2 linked regions of the Oryctolagus cuniculus genome follow. Each later gene encodes a partner of the first gene's protein in a complex. Links are inferred from orthologs where the notes say so. Each region holds a gene or a part of one and is shown on either strand. Other genes may lie near its edges.

Region 1 (3,519 bases):
TTATTTCATCTGGTGACTCTTTTTATCAGAGAAATAGAACTCTTATTTTCTGTTTACCATCCCAGACTTTAGTCTGTGGCTCTGACCAGTATCCCATGCTATCACTCTGTAATCTCTTGAATTAATTTTAAAACAAACACAATTGTAGATGCAGGATAAAAAAATAATTAGGCTTAGACATTCCCATACAAATAAATATCAGAAAAAATATATGTAGAAAAGCAGAATATTTTTGATGACTTATTTGCAATCACTCATGTCTGTTTTGTTTTCAAAACATGCACCTCTTGGCCTTCATTCTTAAACACAGAGATGAAAATAACAAATAAGGCTGTCTAATTCACAGAAAATAGCTCGCTCCCAGGTTCCAAAAGGATAAGTATTAGCAGACAGGTTAGAGTGAAAAAAAAAAAAACTTAAATTTTAAAGTATCATAATCATTCACTAGACAAGGAACTCAAAATTATTCTAAAAAACATTATTATTCACTAAATCACAAGTATCTGATAGCCATTACTTTTATCTGGCTCAAGCCAGACTTTGGAACCTAAAGAAATACTTATTACATCTAGCTTAGAGTCAGACCAATTATTAGACAAAATACCTAATCTGAATTTGCCTACATCCATTTGTACAAAATACTTACACTGCTCTTGACATCTTTCAGCTTCGGCAGAATGTCTAATCCGAAACCATCTGCCTGACCCCGAGTCTTATTTCCACCATTCATGTAGTTGCCAAAGGCAAGAACCAAACCCAGAACCTGCATAACCCCTGGACCATTTTTTAACGTCTGTAAAACATGATAAATAACAATTTTTCTCTTATACAAAGTTTTGTTTGAATCATCCAAAGTCATTGCCAGCTATTCACATGATACTAACAGTCTTGGTTCAAAACCAAACTTTCCCATCCCTCATTATCAAGTATATTTTAAGAGCAGTCTTTAAAACTTTAAAACGTTGTACCACCAGCAAGTATTTAATTATGTTTTTGTAAGTTGAGAGATGCCACTCTAGGCTGTTTCTACTATTTAATTGCAAGGAAATTAAATAAGGTTGTAATAGGACAACTATTATAAAACAATATCATTGCCATCATCCTAGTCATGTGTATGTCTGGAACAACACAAATATTTGGAAGAAACTGTAGAAAACCAAAAGGCAGTTAGAAGATTTTCAAATTTAGGTTTACTCCCAAAAAGTTCACATACACTTCTTCCAAAAATACTAAGTTTAACTTCAGTTTCCATGTCACTTCCTCTGAAAATGTGTCTTTGATAACATCATCCCACTTTTCAAAATGATTTACCACGACCAGAACGAATGGTACTATTGATTTTTGACAAATTGTTTTAAATGTTAATAATGGTCATTTCTTCCAGGCACTTAGTCTGTTTTCAGAAGAATATTAATCTTCTGTTGAGCCATATGGCTGTCTGTCCCTAAATGATTTGGTTGGAATGATTATTAACAATTTGCAAAACCCTGCCAAAAATGAAGGGAAGTAAATAAAATGCCTTCAAATCTCATTCATTTGGAAGTCTGATATCTGAAAGGACTATGAAAAGTAAAGATTTTGTTTTGGCAAAAGCTGATGGAAGACAGCTCTCCAGAGGCCAACACACACTGGCCACACTCGCCCAACACGGTACTGCAAATCCATGCGCCAACCTGAACATGTGATTTGATCTTGAAAGCATAGCCGTAAAATGGTCCCTTTTGTGGGACTACTATCCCTCACTTCTAATAAAGAGTTTAAATAAAATAAATTTCTTTGAAACATGAACATAACTGAACAAATTAAATAATCAGAATTCAAGTTCAATTCATTTTGGACCAAAACTCACCTCACACAATTTCTGTAATAATTCCAGTTTGCGACGAATTGAGCAAATGCTTTCTGAAAACGTGGACTGGAACAGGATGCAAAAGACTCGCTCTGAAAAGTTGGGGATTAGTGACAGTTCATAAAGGAACCTAAAGAAATAAAGCCAAGTTAAGAGGAAAAATATAATTCATATGAACAGATGTTGATCCTCATCTCATTCATGACAGGTATGCACTGAAGACTGCATTTTCCAAATGGACAGAGGGCCCACCCGTAGCCCTTGTGCCCTTGCCACAGGCCTAAGGCATGCTTACTGTTCCGGTTTATCCAGAGACTTGGCGTTTTCCTTGTCTTTAGAGGATCGGCCATGCTTTTCAATTTTTTCCAGTTCATCTGACTGAGCTCTCTGGAAAAAACAAAAGCCAAGCAGTTTTTCAAACTCTGGTCAATTATATTCTTTAGATAACAAGTATCTTAACACAGCAAAAAATCTATATATTTTCATATTTCTTAGCATCTGTTTGTAGTACAGCTTGACTTAATTTATAAGGCATTTTAAAGTGTAAATATGTTTAATGCAAACCAGATCATCCCCAAATCTTCCAAATAATGTCACTGACGATTGGTGATCTGCAAAACATTTATTCATTCAAGCATGGTTTAAAACAATACAGTTTTCCTTTCTTGTTATTTTGGCTGTTTATAATATTCTCTAGGATGCAAGATTTTCATTTTAAAGTGGCATTTGCTCAATTAAGATTATTGCTAGCTGGGAGTATACTAGGTCTCCAAGGAATGAAGTTCTCTTTCCTAACAGTTTTTATACTTGTGCTAGAACCTCATACTCCAGTGTGACCAACATTACTGTCTGTAATCTGCCTTTTCATTTCTCACTCTTTATTAACATTGCATTCTCAGTCCAACCACAAAAACAAATTTGTTAAAATTATTTTCTTTCCAATCTGCACTTCTCACTTATCCCCCAACACCAAACATATCCCCAAATCCCTTCACCATCCTACACTTTTTAATGCAGGATCTTGAAGACATACTGACTTCTTTCCTCATCTTTGGTTCATTTGTTAATCCCTGCAAACTGATTATTTTTGTCACTTAAACCATTTTTATTGAGCTCAACAAATGATCTTAGAGCCAGAAGTTTCATTTCTAGATAAAACAGTAGCTCCAAAGGTGAAGCAGCTCCCAAGATTTCACCCATGATATCCTGGTCAATGACCCCATTCTGAGGCCCAGAAACCTACAGCAGGGCGCTAAGTATTTAAAAAGCAACAAGGACATAAACATGGAATCGCCCCATTGCTTACCAGTCCTCCCTCTTATAACTGGAATTCCTAAGCATAATGGCAGTGAAGGACCAGAAAGGGGACAGGCTGGCCAGCTACCTCACCACTTGAGAAAATAGAATGTTGTTGAGTTCCCTGGGCTTTCTATTTCCCTTCTACTTATGCCATATGGGGTGCTGGAGAAGCTTGAAACCTGGAACCACTAGCAGACACGAGTGAAAAAATAGACAAGAAGAGCTTTCTACCTCCCTCCAGTCAAAGAACGAGAGAAAGGGTAGTCTGGCTGATGAGAAAACCTTTTTCTTATTACCTGCCCAGTATTAGGCAAACACCAAATGAAAAACTGTGCCCTTCTTGGTGTCAATGTGGCCATGTGGAAAGCTAA
Region 2 (3,519 bases), on another chromosome or scaffold:
AACTAGTGTATCATTTCACTGATGTATCTGGTCCTTATGGTCATATAATATAATTATTGAGGTAAGATTAAATTAAACATAAAAATTATCAGTGTAAAGGAACCATCGACCATAGTGTTATGTTAGCTAATAATAGAGGTTATGCCAAGACCTTCAGCCCACACCAGAGACCAAGAGATCTGGCAAATCTTGGTCAGACTGTGAGCCTGTATTTTGTAGAAGAGGGAGGAGAGCAAGAAAAACTAACTGCAGTTAGTTGGAAGGGTCCCTGTGAACAGGCAGTGGGAGAGCTGGGTTCACCTAGGTGGAGCTCAGGCTGAGGGAAGGGAGCAGAGACCATGGAGAGGTGCAGGGTGGCCCTCACCCAGTGCCTTCTGGCGCCAGCTGAGACAAACATGAACATCCAGCTGTGCAGCTACTGTCCTTGCCAGTGGCGTGGGAATCCATAGATATCAAACGTGGGTAGTAGTGCCCTCTAGCTTGGTAAGCATTGATTTTACAAGTATGGTAATTAATTTGGAATTTTAGTTTAATTTTATTAAGCAAGAAATCATTTTGTATTTGACTCTATTGCCCTCCCTTTCCTTAGTATGTCTGAAGTGTAACTTTTTTCATCACCTGGTGAAGTGACTGGGGGTGACTGCCCCTCTAGGTGAAAGGCAGGCTGTCAGAAAGTACTTTTACAGAGACAGAAGCAAACAGTTCCTTGGTGTATACTAGGGGACTTAGAAAGTTTATGAGAAAATGGATTTAAAAGATAAATTTACTTTTGGTGCATTGAAATTTTGAAATCTATTCATAGTTTTTTCACACTATGAATTTCCCATGAACTTTTTGAAGACCCCCTGGTATCCTTGTGTTTTCTCAGACACTGGAGGCGGTTACCTCTGTCCCTTAGCCCAGCAGCACCATTTAGGGGACTCAGAACGTTCAAAGGGCCCCCAAGCTAGAGAAATGCGAAATCTGTCTTTGCTGTGGGAACTGTACAATCTCTAGGCATGACTTTGGGATTCGGTTTCTGAGTTAGATGTACAGATGCAGACATGGTGTGGACCATTACCATCCTTGTGGGGTTTTCTATTTTGTTTGGTTTTTCTTTCATTTCTGTAATTAGTATTTGTAGGTCACTCATGTTCAGCGTTATTTTCTCCTTTTCTTTTCTCCTGCCATTTTCTTTTTCCCTTATCTATTGTTCAGGTTCCTAGGATAACCAGTGTATGGCCCAGGACGCCTTTCCGACCACTTTTTTCTACCATACAAGCAGCTTCTCTGCTCAGCTCTCATCCTTTTGAAGCAGCCATGGTTGGGGTAGCAGGGGCTATGTATTATCTGTGTGAGAGAGCTTTTACCAGCAGGTGGAAATCCTCAAAGGTTGGCCTCTTTCTGCTGGTTCTGGGAATTATTTTACTCTCTGTATCTCTTTGACAGTGATACTTCAGCTATTGCATTCTGCGAGAATTAACAGCTTAGATGGGCACTTTGCTTCTGATTGTTGATTCCAATCTTGTGTAGGATGTATAGATCTCGCTATGATCTCAGTTGAGGGGGAAATGACTTTGAAAGGACAACAAACTCAAAATGCAGCATCAGATTAGATGTCCCATGGGTGTTTGTCTATTTGAGTGACCTCGTTGTCATCAGGGTGGTGCAGGAGGTCCTCCTGAGAGCCAGAGCATGCTTTCTTCTGGGCCTCCCCTGCCATCAGAAGAGCGATCACTTGCTCATTCAGCTGACAGAGTAGCTCCTGCCATGTAACCAAGCTCTGAGGGCCACGTACCCAAAGGATGGCCTCCTGGGGCCAGAAACCTGTCTGTTCCCAGCATGTCATAAAGCTGCCTATGGTGGTCAGGGTGTTGCTTCTCTGGGAGGAGAAAATTTAATCTTTCTTTTTATTGATGTGGTTATTTAAAATAATTGTGTATTTTCTTTTTAGAGATCTTTGCACAGAATAATATATTTTACTACTATTTGAACCTTCACATTTTTTGAGTGAAATAAAAAGCCCTGGGACCACATTGAAGCCCCTCTGGTCCAGTGTGGCTCTCAGGGTCCCTAACAGATGACTCAGCGGCAGCTTCTGTGTTATTCATCCTCATTACCCATCTTAGTATAGAAAGGAGTCCAGATGCCAATGAAATTGTCATGAAATATGGGGTCAGTCTCTGACCTTTTTCCCAGTTTAGACCTGCCCTTCGGACAGCACCTGCTCAGGTGCAGGGGTGTGCCTTTTAACCCTGTCACTCCTACTGTGACACCTGAAGACCTGCATTTTTTTTTTTTTTTTTTTTTTTTTTTTGACAGGCAGAGTGGGCAGTGAGAGAGAGAGACAGAGAGAAAGGTCTTCCTTTGCCGTTGGTTCACCCTCCAATGGCCGCCGCGGCAGGCACGCTGTGGCCGGCGCACCGGGCTGATCCGAAGGCAGGAGCCAGGTGCTTCTCCTGGTCTCCCATAGGGTGCAGGGCCCAAGGACTTGGGCCATCATCCACTGCACTCCCGGGCCATAGCAGAGAGCTGGTCTGGAAGAGGGGCAACCGGGACAGAATCCGGCGCCCCGACCGGGACTAGAACCCAGTGTGCTGGCGCCGCAGGTGGAGGATTAGTCTATTGAGCCACGGCGCCAGCCACCTGCCGCATTTTGTTATGGATCCTCCCCAAATAGAGGTGTGGTATCTACACACCAAGGCCACATACTACTTCAGACCAACAAAGGATTCACTTTGAGTTTTAAGGCTTAATTAAACTTAATAGTTTTTATTTAAATTTGCCTCTCTCTCGTTTATTAGAAACTCTTACCCTGTACACAAGACTCCCCCACCATCAGAAGCCTGCGTCTCTGTATCTTTCAGAGTGCTGGTAGCTCCACAAGAACAGCTGAAGCTTAGTTTGGCTTTGGGGATGTTGAATTAATCTTTTTGTTATTTGAGGGGGAAAAACTAATCCATAGCAACTATTTGTCATTTTTTTCATGTTGCATTAAAGTTTTGTTGTCCTTGGGAAAGCTCTAGAATTAAAACATTAGCATTTGACCTGATGGAAATTATTTTACTAACCCAAAGTATTTTTTAAATTTAAAAATATATGTATAGGCATATAACACCGCATAAATTTGTACAGTTAAAATAATTTTTAAAACCTCAAAACACACTAAAACTGAATTTTTTCAATTTCAGTAGCCTCCTTTAGACCTTTAGTAAATTTTAATGTGGAAAAAGCATAAGAAAACAAAAACCCAGGATCTCTTACTGCATCCTCTGAAGCACTTGATTTGCATATTGTTCAAAGCAGGAAGTTGGAGGAAGTATGCTTGACTAAGGGCTTCTGTGACTTGAGACTGAAGAGGGGAGCTCAAGCTGTCAGGTTGATTATGTGTGCTAGTAAATCCCCACAAATAAAGAACAATTATTGTCTCCCTGAGATGTTTACCAACCCAGGTATCCCAGTAGCAAAATTACTGAAACTGGCACTATATGATACCTTCCTGGCAAGTACAAGAACAAGTCTGTTTACCTGGTTATTTGC

The links. Proteins that work in one complex are often made in the same cells at the same time.
Region 2: the proteins of formin-2 (region 1) and SPIRE1 are in contact, whole or in part, in a crystal structure (PDB 2YLE), measured with the Homo sapiens proteins. The link is inferred for Oryctolagus cuniculus from reciprocal best matches to the Homo sapiens genes FMN2 and SPIRE1. Residues at the interface, in NP_064450.3 of Homo sapiens: Ser1702, Leu1703, Lys1705, Ile1706, Lys1707, Pro1708, Arg1709, His1710, Gly1713, Ile1714, Lys1715, Lys1717, Ile1718, Lys1721, Thr1722; in NP_001122098.1 of Homo sapiens: Gln51, Pro52, Ile53, Asn54, Glu127, Ile131, Tyr134, Lys135, Asp138, Leu141, Lys142, Glu143, Asn144, Glu145, Glu146, Arg147, Glu148, Glu154, Ile157, Asp158, Ala161, Asn162, Thr163, Val164, Glu165.

The regions. Positions count from the first base shown.
Region 1 is NC_091444.1:57,070,271-57,073,789, forward strand, and holds part of formin-2, read right to left. Parts: intron 2,237-3,519; coding exon 2,145-2,236; intron 1,980-2,144; coding exon 1,850-1,979; intron 794-1,849; coding exon 647-793; intron 1-646. UniProt on the Homo sapiens protein: Actin-binding protein that is involved in actin cytoskeleton assembly and reorganization. Acts as an actin nucleation factor and promotes assembly of actin filaments together with SPIRE1 and SPIRE2.
Region 2 is NC_091441.1:69,320,437-69,323,955, reverse strand, and holds part of SPIRE1 (protein spire homolog 1), read left to right. Parts: intron 1-1,197; coding exon 1,198-1,371; intron 1,372-3,519.